Linked DNA regions of Oryzias latipes. The main gene of each other region encodes a partner of the protein of the gene in region 2 in a complex. Links are inferred from orthologs where the notes say so. Each region holds a gene or a part of one and is shown on either strand. Other genes may lie near its edges.

Region 1 (5,797 bases), on a different chromosome or scaffold from region 2:
GATAATCAATGACGCTTGGTAGTGCATCTTAATGGTCTAATGTAACGTGCATGTGTTCTGTATGCATTAATGCAAAGCATCTATTTATAATTATGAATAAACACACTGTCAATATGATAGCATCATCTCATTACATCTTTTTTCTTATCAATTATTACTTTTTATCTGAAATGGATTTAATCTGTTTAAATTTTGGATTTCTGTTCTTTATTGTATAATTCCATGATTTCAATACTTAAAATGAATCATAAAATTAACTATAAAAAAATAATCACTGCAGTTTAACAAGAGGCCAAGTGGACTTCACTTCCTGCCGGAAGCCTTTCCTCTGTGTTGATTAGAAAATAATGAAGTCACAGGACTTTTTTGAAAGGATTTTAAGTATGTTTGATTAAAATTAACAGTAAATTTGAACAAATTGACAAACATCCAGAAAGTGAAGCTTTTAGTAAAACATGAGCAGAGATGCAGCAGGTTTTACATCTGATCCGTTTTCCTAACATTATTTAAGTTCACTATCAGAGGTTTTAAGGTGTTTCTGTAAAAAAGAAGATGGTAGAACCCAAATAACGTATAAATCCAGATCCATCTGAAACAGACGTAGCCTGTAAGTGTTACAACCCTCTGCTACATAGTGGAGGGAAAAGCAGAAACTCTTCTATTGATTGAAAGATTGTCTAAAAATGAGATTTTATTTTTTCTAGTACTGTTGGGAATTTTATGTAAAACCAGAGTTTTATAACGATCTATTTTCTGTACCATCAGTGAATGGAGTCTTTGATGAGGAAAAGCTTAGTCATCACAAACGGTCCTATTGTTGCAGCTTTTAATCCCCCTCCCAACACCTACAGAACAATTCTAATCTTTGTAGATAATCTGGGTTAGCTAGAACTGTATTTTTCATAATTGACACATCAGAAGAGAGAGAACTCCACCATCAACTGCAGCTCATGTGAAGGACGTGATGTGATGGATTTGAATGCCACTCTAGACGCTGCAGGAGGACCAAGAACCACAGAAAGGAAGGGATTCAACCATTTATACAGAATTCCTTTTTACAAAACTGATGTTTAGTGTAAAGCTGCAGGGGGTGGAAGTCCAACATTGATAGAAATCACGAGTCATGGTAAACGGAGAAATAAATGCTGCATTATCCAAAACTACTTGTAAAAAGTTAAATTTTTTAATAGTTTAACATAAAATGACTTGAAAATCAAACAAGAAAACAAAGACAGCCCAAAAATGGAATAAATGTCTAAAAAAAAAAAGGAAAAAAGAATTTTCTTTTGGTTGTCATTAAAGCGTAAATGATTGAAAATCTTTGTGGGATTTTTCAAAGCTGCAATTCAGTGAACATTTGAAATGTCGTTGCTCTCAAAGAGCTTTCCCTTCTTCATCCCTGAGCCTAAAACAGAGGGATTTTTGGAAATGACAGCTTCTCATCACTCATCCGTCTTCCAGACAGCGCAGCTGCTTTTTCAAAAGTCGGGTAAAGGAAATAAAACACACACACGTGTTTACAAAGCATTGTTTAATCAGAGCCTTAAAAAAGTGTCCATCCGTGGTTAAACCACCACAGGCTGAAATAAACCCGTTCATGAACGCACCACAGAGATGCGTCACACAAACCCTCCGAAGGAAAAGATCCAGGTCCACGGCTCTTCCAAAAAAACAGGAAGAGCCGCTGCTCCTCGTGAGGAGTCTGTCCCACGCAGATGGAGGGCCGCGCCTCCTCCTTTATCGTCCTCCTGCGAGGAAACAGCGACACAGCTCAGACGACACAAACAGCGCACAGTAGGACGCCTGACGGTGAACCCACCTCTGAATCCTCGGCCACCACCACCTCCTCTTCCTCTGAAGCCTCCTCCACCGCGTCCACCTCCGCCCCGCCCACCCCGGAAACCTCCTGAGACAGACCCGCAGGACCGTTACTCCTTTCTGATTCCACGACTGTCATGCAGTCATGTCATGTCATGCCTCACCTCCACGACCTCCTCCTCTTCCTCCACCTCGCCCGCCGCCCCGCCCTCCCCGGGGCGGACCCTTTTCCCCCGGAGGCCTGGGCAGAAACCTCTGCAGTGGGAGCAGCTTCATGGGGTCTATGTAAAACTGATAGAGAGGGGTGTGAGTGTCCCACAGACACAGCAGCATTCAGCCACACAGCAGGAGGAAGAGGAGGAGGAAGAGGCCTTTACCTTCTGCAGCTTCTTGAAGGAAGACGCCTTCATGTTTTCAGACAGTTTGACAGAAAAGTACTGCAGGACTCATAAGGAGCATGCTCTCATGCCGGTGTTTCAGACTCGCTCCGCTCACGCACCAAAAGGATACGAAGTCCCGCAGCTGCCCGAAGATCTCATCCACTTTCCCGATCTGCTCCTTGTTTTCCAGGTAGACCGGAGCGTTGAAGTAGGGGACTTTGTTCTCCTCGGTGGTACACTTGCAGACGATGTCATCTTCACAGGGATGGACGAACTCGCCCAGAGCTGCAGAGACAGGATTGAAGCAGGCGGTCACCTCGTGTCAGATCCTCTGAGGTGTGAAAGCGTTTGTGTTCCAGGCTGCAGCTGTGTCCCCGTTTACACGCGTGTGACCCCGTTATGCCAACCAGGAACCACGCTGAGAACGTGACCTCCTCTGATGACCTTCAGGACACAGCAGCTGCTCCTAACAGTCTGCATGGACGCCTCTACTGGCTGCTCTTACCGACCACATGCTCGGGGGGGCCATAGTCCTGTTGCCTGTTAAAGCCCCCTCGTCCACCTCCGCGTCCAAACCCTCCGCCTCTGCTAAAGCCGCCTCCTCCTCCTCGGTTGAAGCCTCCTCCCCCTCTGTTAAAGCCGCCTCCTCCTCGGTTAAAGCCGCCGCCTCCTCCTCGGTTAAAGCCCCCTCCTCGTCCGCCGCCTCGTCCGCCGCCTCTGAAAGACATCCTGGTTGGATCCTCGCCTCACACACAAACACCTGAGAGAGTGGGAGGGGCCAAATGAGAGGGTACATTTAATTACAATACTGCCCCTTTTATCTCGCCCACAACAGCCCCACATTCTTCAAGGGTGGTGTTCTACGTAAGTAAGTAAATCTTTATTTATATAGCACTTTTCTCAGAGAGCGACTCAAAAAGTGCTTCACAATGTTAAAACAATATAAAATCAGTAGTGAAACCCAATAAACAAACACAAGCATAGAAGTAAACAAACAAACAAGCAAAAGTGAACACAAATAAAAGTCAGCTAATAGCTCTCTTAACTTGAGCTTTAAAACACTCGACTGAGTCAATCTGGCGGAGAGACGGGGGGAGGTCGTTTTCTGCCTGAAAGGCGAGGTCTCCCCTAGTTTTAAAACGAGTCTTTGGAACACATAAAATATTTTTATCAGTGGAACTCAAGGAACGTGCAGGAGTGTAGGGAGTTAAAAGGTCAGAAATATAGTTCGGGGTTTGTCCGTGCAGGGCTCTAAAAACTAAAATCAAAATTTTAAAATCTATTCTAAATTTAACAGGAAGCCAATGTAGAGATGAAAGCAGAGGGGTGGCATGAGTGCGCTTTTTGGTTCCAGTTAAAAGCCATGCAGCATAGTTCTGGACCAGTTGGAGACGTTTAAGAGACTTTTTGTTAAAACAAGTAAAAAGAGAATTACAATAGTCTAAACGAGAGGAGATAAAAGCATGGATGATCAACTGAAGGTCAGATATGGTTAACATTGTCTTCAGTTTAGCCACATTCCTTAAAAACAGTTTTTGACCAAGAGCTTTGAGTGAGTCTAGAGACATAGATTTGTCAAACCAGACACCAAGATTCCTGAGACTGGCCTGGACAGAAGAGCTCAGTGAACCAAGGTGTCTTTTGATGGCGGGAATTTCCTCATCAGAAGCAAAAATGATTGTATCCGTCATAGTAGGGTTCGGGAGTAAATGGTTGTCATTTAACCAAACTCTAATGCTGGCCAAGCAGTCTAATAGATACGATAGATTTGCGTAATCATTTTTTCCAAATGAGCAATAAAGTTGAATGTCATCAGCATAAAGATGATACAAAATATTTGAAATTTTGCTGATGAGTCTCCCAAGGGGAATCATGTAGAGAGTGAATAGAATGGGTCCCAATACGGAACCTTGGGGAACGCCAAAAGACAGGATTTCTGCTTCTGAAGATAGAGAGTCAACACAGACCTTATAAGATCTACCACTGAAATAGGAGACGAACCAGCTTAGGACGGAACCAGATAAACCGTAGTCGTTATGAAGACGGTTGAGCATGATTTCATGGTTTACAGTCTCAATTGCAGATTTCAGGTCTAAAAGAACGAGAACAGTGTATTGACCAGAATCTGCCGCCATGAGCACATTGTTGGAAACTTTTAAGAGAGCCGTTTCAGTTGAGTGGTTCTTTTTAAAGCCAGATTGGAAAAGGTCACAAATGCTACTTTGTTCTAAGAATGACCTTAGTTTCTCCACTACAACCTCCCCCAAGATCTTAGCAGTAAAAGGAAGTTTTGAAATGGGACGGAAATAATTTGGATTAGAGTGGTCCAAGTTAGGTCTGCTCCTCCATCCACTCATGACCTCATCAGAAGGACTGAAAGGGCTGTATTTATCCCAGAGAACACACAAGTTCACGCATGTCTGAACGTAAAAAACATGTGATTTTACAAAATACTTTTGTTGTGAAATTATAATATCTGTGTATCAGATGATTAGGCAAAATGCAAGAATAGGTAAAAAAAAGATCTTTTCTAGGTTAAAAGGCCTTTATCTTGAAAAGTGGTTATATTATTGTCTGGTAAGTAAACTTCATTACCCACCATGCATTTGATTGATTTATTTATAATTACAACAAATAACATTTGTAGAGTTAGTTTAAAGTTTCACAGAGGCCGTGTTCATTTACAACCCAGCCTTGTCTCATCCTTTTTAAATACATCTTGTTAAATTGATATTATTCTCACCTAACTACTTCTTTGTACTTAAAATATTGAAGTCAAAAAAAGCAATTAAAACGTGTAATTTTGCTCGGCTTTATAATTTAATATAAGTTTATCTTGTGTTTGTATCCCCCCTGGCGTGTTCTCTGAACAATTCATGTACAGTTTATTGTTCTTTGCTGTATTTCACATGTGTTCTGAAATTAAAAAAAATAAAATAAAAAATAAAAAAGGAGGGAGAAACTCATATAAGCTAAAGGAAAATAAGGAAGACTTTCCAACAGATCATAGAGCTTTTTGTGGAGAAAGATCGACACACAGACTCAAAAAGTAAGACCAAACATGTTTTTCAATGTTTTTTGTTTTTTAAATAACATGGGAGTAAGTGGATAAAAATGTAAGTAAAATCATTTTTTTATGTTTTTGATCATTTTCACAGACAATATTTGATAACTGATTAAAGCACCAGAATTTGAAGTTGGAAAAATAACGGAAATAGTTACTAAGGGTCAAATGTGTGCTGAACACATCTGTACACTTTATTTGTTTACAGTACATTTGAATAATTTATACACAGGAAGAGAGTTCTATCCATCTATAAAAGAAATATTCTCTGTAGGACAAATATGTTCTTGTGTGTATTTTATGAGCTGTTAGCTACTGTTGGATGAAAGGTGAAATATTTAGTTTTATCATCGTAAATCTGACTCCAGAGGAGTTGGTGACTCACCAGCCATCAACCTCACCGCACATCACTGGAACGCAGTATACAAACAAACAACAGTAACAACAACTAACTATACAGGTAAACATTAACAACCTTTTTTAAAGTGCAAAATAGAGCAAAAAGTGAACAAGTGCCGCTTAAATTAGTAGGGCT
Region 2 (5,797 bases):
TGACGGCGGCGCACTCTCTCTGCTTCTGTCCGGACGGGACGCGGCTGTACTGCGGCTTCGAGAAGACTGTGCGGGTGTTCCACACCGAACGCCCTGGGCGAGACTGCGAGGAGCGCCCCACCATGGGTGAGTCGGGGGGGGTTCCGTCTGGACCGAAACGTTCATTCTTGACACCCGGTCAGACGCCATCTAGGGTTGTGCCGATGGACGATATCATCAACAATTCAATACAAAACGATGTTAAACAGCGCTGAGCGGCTATATACATTGACATGTCAGCTCGGTAATATACGAGACGATCTTCTAAACCTGCTTTTAAGAATGTTATGGTTATTATGAAACACCTGTTCGCTTATCATTTGAATTTTAATCCGTGTGGTCAATGCTTTTTCTGAACGGAGCCGGAAAGAAGCCAGGATTAGCAGTATGCTAACACGGGCTAACAACATTAGCTTTGGTTGGCGCTACACGTAAACATGTGGGAATAACATCAGCCTTTATTTAGTTGGGACACAACTGGAAACATAAATCCACGTGATTGTTTGAACGGTTTCTAAGGACTGAGCGACATTTCTGCTTTGAAGCTCACACTGCCGCTGTGTGTGCTGACGATCCGAGCTGTGCTCAGACACACACTTTTAGACCCGGTTCTGAGTTCGGTAGCTCGTTCCCCTAGAGCTGCGGGACGGATCGCAGTCTTAAATCTCCCACACATAGCGCTATGTAACAGAGCACCCCCCCCCCCTCCCTTCCCATCAAACACAAAGCTGTAAATCCGCGCTCCGCCGGTCCACTTGACTAGTTAAGTGCGGGAGCGGACTACTTCTTTTCTATTTTGTTTGTTACTTTTTTTGTTAAAGTCACTTCCTTCAGTTTAAACTGGATCATCACAGATTAGTCATTGGTTGGGAAATAAAATAAAAAAAATAAAATAACGAATAGCAGTTATACAAGAACGAAAAATGTAAAAAACAGCCCCCCCCCCCGACGATGTCATCGTCCATCCCGATGGTTGACAGCAATCATCGTCAACGGCCAATTTAGGGGACATCGCCCGACCCTAACGCCATCCCGCTCGTACCGTGCTCACGTGCAAAGTTAGTCAGTGTTAGCGGACATTTAGAAGAAGACGCGTTGTCATGGCAACAGCCGCCAAGCCTTCACCGACCAGCGGAGGAAGCGCACATCGCAAAAGTCTGCGAAAATTGCGTTAAATGGCTACCTTAAATGTGCTAAAACAATCTCATGGCAACTTAAAGTATTTAACGCATCAAATAAATCCCTTCATGCGTTTGACCAATCGGATGGAGCCCTTTGATGTTAGATGTCCGCCTCCTATGTAGACGAGTATGTCTGAGAAAACCCACCCATGCACGGGGAGAACATGCAAACTCCACACAGAAAGGCCCCCCGTTGATGTTCTGGTTCAGGTCCCCCAGCCGGGACTTGAACCGGGGTGGTGTCTTGCTGTGAGGAAAGAGCGCGAACCGCTGAATCCCTGAACCTTTCAAGATATTCCAGGATTTCTGCCTCCATTGAAATAAATGGGGAATTTTTGGTGCAGAAGCTCGCAGGTTTGAGACCCAGCTGTGGCATTGGAGGAGGAGTTAAGGCACTATAATAAAGAGAGAGATACAGGAAAACAAGGGGTTGAATACCTTATAGCATTCAACGCATTAGGTTAGCATTTATCGCAATTTTCACCGAGTTTTGCACATCTTGATGTCGCGATAACGTTAGATTTATTGTGCAGGCTTAATTTTTACCATCTTGTCGCATTTTTCTCAAGTAAAGAAATCTGAGCTCAAATTCTGCATTTCTGAGCGTTTCTTTATTGAAATTGTCGTGAATAAGGACTGCGTGAATTTCTAGTGAACTTCAGCCGCTCTGCAGAAACTATGTCCTAGAACACAACGCCGGTTTCAGGCCAAGAAACGTTCAAATTGTAATTTAAAAAAAAAACACAGGGAACCCTTTTCACAATAGATCGAAGTATGACTTTGATGCGGTGAGATTTATAGCAAACATCTGTTTTTATTCCATCAACACCTGATGAAGACCTTCATCAGAAAATTTCTACCAATGTGCAGATTTCTGACGCTTCATCGTAGGGAACAGGAAAAAAAAATCATTGAAGTTCCCTGAAAAAATCGGCTTGAGACAAAAGTGATTAAAAAATAACTAAATAAATAATGATACGGTAAATTCAAACCCATTAAAGTGGAGCAGCAATTTGACTTGCAGAATAGTACAATTTTGTAGAATTCAGTGCAGAATTTGGCTGAAACTGAAGGTTTAATGACAGTAAATAAAGCTGGACGGGATTCTGCTAATTCTGCAAAGATCCGTCCGCTGAATCGAGAGGATCCAGGTTTGAAGAAATAACTGGATTTGCTGCAGGTTTTATGCCAGATTCATGAGAAACCATAGCTTCTGCCTGGTTTTTTTTTGTGGTTAAAAAAACCACAACGTGTTGAATTTAAAGAATCTCTGATCTGAAGAATCAGCAGGAACAAAAAATGCATTCAAGGAGGCGGTTCGTCATTTTTCAACCCAGAAATTGAAGAGATTCGATCAAAACAGCGAAACTGCAGGAAAAGCCAAAGTTCTCCGTCCAACAGCGCCTACTGCTGGAACCGGAGCTTCATGACGAGGCCACCAAAGCTTCTCGGAGCCGACGTCTGGTCGTCCGTCTGCAGATTTTTCCGTCTGCAGAAAAATAACTTTAGCCTATTTGTGACAAAAAGTTTTATTTTATTTTTTAATGATCTGTCCTCGCTGCAGTGAAGAGGCGGGGCCAGAACGGCATCATTTCCTGCTTCGCCTTCAGTCCGTGCCAGTCGGTCTACGCCTGCGGCTCGTACTCGCGCTGCGCCGGCCTGTACTCCTGTCAGGACGGCGCCCTGCTGGCTCTGCTGCCCACGCTGCACCACGGAGGCATCACCCACCTGCTCTTCTCCCCCGACGGCAACTACCTGTACACCGGGGGGCGCAAGGTCAACATTTTCACGCTTCTCCCTGGTTTCCTTTGTGGTGTTTGTGGAGCTGGAGAGTCAGAGGAGGCGTGTGTGTCTTATTGGCTGTAGCTCACCTGTTCAGCTGAGCTGTACATTTACGACTTTAAAACGCGTAAATTAACAAGAAAAAAGTCAAAAGTTAAACAAGAAAAAACCTCAAAGGTGCCTGTTTATTGGAGCCTTGCTGGAAGATGAAATATGTGGAGCGTTCTGTGAGGTTTTATTTCTGGATAGGTTTCAAAAACACAGATATTCTGAACCTCTTGGCGACTCAGAATGAGATTATTGTCAGTGTAGTCGCCTTTCCGAGGTTCAGTGTCGGAGTTTCATGTGTAAAATAAGGAACTCAAGAGACACGTTTGGGTGTAGAGGACCAATACTTTATTTTCTCTTCCATTCACACACCCTGAAGTGCATTTGTCTCATTACCTCATGAATCTGTCATCAGAACACCAATGTGTTGTTCTATTAGCATTACAACGTTGAAAATGCCAGAAAGTGTTCCTCCTCCTCAGACGGAAGTGTCACAAAGACTTAGAGGTGTTGGTTTTTATGGAAGTAGAACGGATTGAAGTGGACATCTGCCTGCAGGGACACCCATCAATGAATAAAACATTGATAAATTGTAAATCAAAAAAAATTGTAATGTTATCAATGAACATTCAGCTCACCTGTTGTGTCGGTTGAGTCTGTCCGCTCTGCTGCTGCTCTGTATGCTCAATTCGAGCATACAATTGAAACATGCTCAATTTTAATTTCATAAATTTACATGAAAAAAGTCATATATTTTTTTCCGTAAATTTAACACATTGAATCTCGTAAATTTAACATGTTTTTTCTCTTAAATTTACTACTTTGAATCTCGTAATTTTATGAGTTCTTTTCCCGTAAATTTAAGACCTTAAATTTCGGAAATTTCTAAAAAAAAAAAATTCTCGTAAATTTACTACTTTTATATCTCGTGATTTTGTTAATGTTTTCTTTTAAATCTACGACTTTAAATCTCGTAATTTCACGATTTTTTTATTTTATTTGCAAATTTACGACTTAGAATCTCATAATTTTACGAGTTTTTTCCCCCCGTAAATTTAAGACTTTAAATCTCAGAAATTCACGTTTTTTCTCTCGTAATTTTACTACTTTAAATCTCCTAATTTACTAGTGTTTTCTTTTAAATCTATGTCTTTGAATCTCGTAATTTTACGATTTTTTTTTTTTTACTTACAAATTTACAACTTTAAATCTCAATTTTACAAGTTTTCTTTCCTGTAAATTTAAGACTTTAAATCTCGTAATTTTGCTTCTTTTTTTTGTGTGTGTGTGGCCCTAACACTTAAGAACAAACGTACTAAAGCTGTGATTGGATTCTGCGTCCTTGTGCCACCAGGATCCAGAGATCCTCTGCTGGGATCTGAGGGAGCCCGGGAAGGTGGTGTTCTCTCTGAAGAGGAACGTCACTACAAACCAGCGCATCTATTTTGACCTGGACCCGTAAGTTCACCCTGCAGGTTGCAAAAATGACCTGAAGAAGAAGAAGAAGCGCAACGGTTCCTGGAATAAAAGCTGCCATCAGTCAAACCTGTAAAATGTTGGACCATGAAAGGTTAATTTCTGCACATTTTCACCAGAAAAGTGCAGCTGAATTAACAGATTTTGGAATATCTGTAGGAATATTTATGCTTTTAGAAGATTTTGTGTTGCAGATTGTGTCACAAAAGTGAGAATATGTTGATGGATTGTTTTTAAAACACTCACTTTTTGCCCTCACCTTCTACACACTTCCTCACTCTTGGAACCAGTTCAGTTCACAGTGTCACCACTAGGGGGCTTGATGTCCATTTAGGGGTTTAAAGTTGGATCTAAAAAATATATGTACTCCTCTGTGGGATTTATGGTCTACTATGTCTGCTTTTTTTATCCCGTTATTAAAATGGTGGTAAAATGGGGGCGTGGCCTTTAGATTGACAATGTGTCATCTTTAAAATGACCTTCTCCTGGTTTAGCTGTCTTTTTTTGGAAAAGTGGGGGCCCACTACATACAGACTTACAGCAACAGTGGAGCCATGTTTTGTTTTAAATATGCCCCCCCACCTCTTTCAAACACAGGGTCACATGACCAGAGGGGGTGGGTCCAAACCTTTGATGCTCCCTGTTTCTAAAATGCATTGGCGTTTTTCCTCTGGTTAAGGTCGGGCAAGTATCTGCTGAGTGGAGACACGGAGGGGGGGGTGTCGGTGTGGGACACCCAGACGGCGCCCCCCGATGGCGAAGAAGGACTTCTGCAGCCTCAGCTCAGGTTCCAGGCTCACTGGGACTGCACCAACGGCATCAGGTATGTTCTCTTTTTTTATCTACAATTATATAAAACTAGACGATCCCTATTTTAGCTTTTGAGCGTTTAAGCTCCGCCTTTTTTTTTTATTTATTGGATCAATTTCCACACAAACCCGATTCCTGATCCTCTTCACTCTCGCCGCTTCTGCAGCCTGCACCCCTTCATGCCCCTCCTGGTGACGTCCAGCGGCCAGCGGCAGTTCCCGTGGCCCGACGACAGCGACTCTGCCTCGGACACCGAGGTAGAGGCGGCAGCCGCCGCCCCCCAGCAGGAGGCGCGGCAGGACAACGCCCTGACTCTGTGGTGGGCCGGACCGCTCGCCGCTCCGGCTGAGGAGAGCCGGGAGGAGCCGGCGCAGACGGACTGACAAACGTTTCACCAACTCCATTCCTAAAAACAACACAAAAAGAACCTCTTCTCCTCCAAGTTTACAGTTCGAACCCCT

The links.
Region 1: wrap53 (region 2) and gar1 share a complex: the UniProt entries of both Homo sapiens proteins name them as parts of the telomerase holoenzyme complex. The link is inferred for Oryzias latipes from reciprocal best matches to the Homo sapiens genes WRAP53 and GAR1.

Annotation. Positions count from the first base shown.
Region 1 is NC_019868.2:3,855,079-3,860,875, forward strand, and holds the end of gar1 (H/ACA ribonucleoprotein complex subunit 1), read right to left. Parts: intron 2,959-5,797; 5' UTR 2,927-2,958; coding exon 2,704-2,926; intron 2,484-2,703; coding exon 2,329-2,483; intron 2,256-2,328; coding exon 2,196-2,255; intron 2,110-2,195; coding exon 1,983-2,109; intron 1,907-1,982; coding exon 1,820-1,906; intron 1,749-1,819; coding exon 1,738-1,748; 3' UTR 1,515-1,737; downstream 1-1,514. UniProt on the Homo sapiens protein: Required for ribosome biogenesis and telomere maintenance. Part of the H/ACA small nucleolar ribonucleoprotein (H/ACA snoRNP) complex, which catalyzes pseudouridylation of rRNA.
Region 2 is NC_019876.2:6,279,809-6,285,605, forward strand, and holds part of wrap53 (telomerase Cajal body protein 1), read left to right. Parts: coding exon 1-126; intron 127-2,784; coding exon 2,785-2,996; intron 2,997-4,404; coding exon 4,405-4,508; intron 4,509-5,205; coding exon 5,206-5,349; intron 5,350-5,502; coding exon 5,503-5,719; 3' UTR 5,720-5,797. UniProt on the Homo sapiens protein: RNA chaperone that plays a key role in telomere maintenance and RNA localization to Cajal bodies. Specifically recognizes and binds the Cajal body box (CAB box) present in both small Cajal body RNAs (scaRNAs) and telomerase RNA template component (TERC).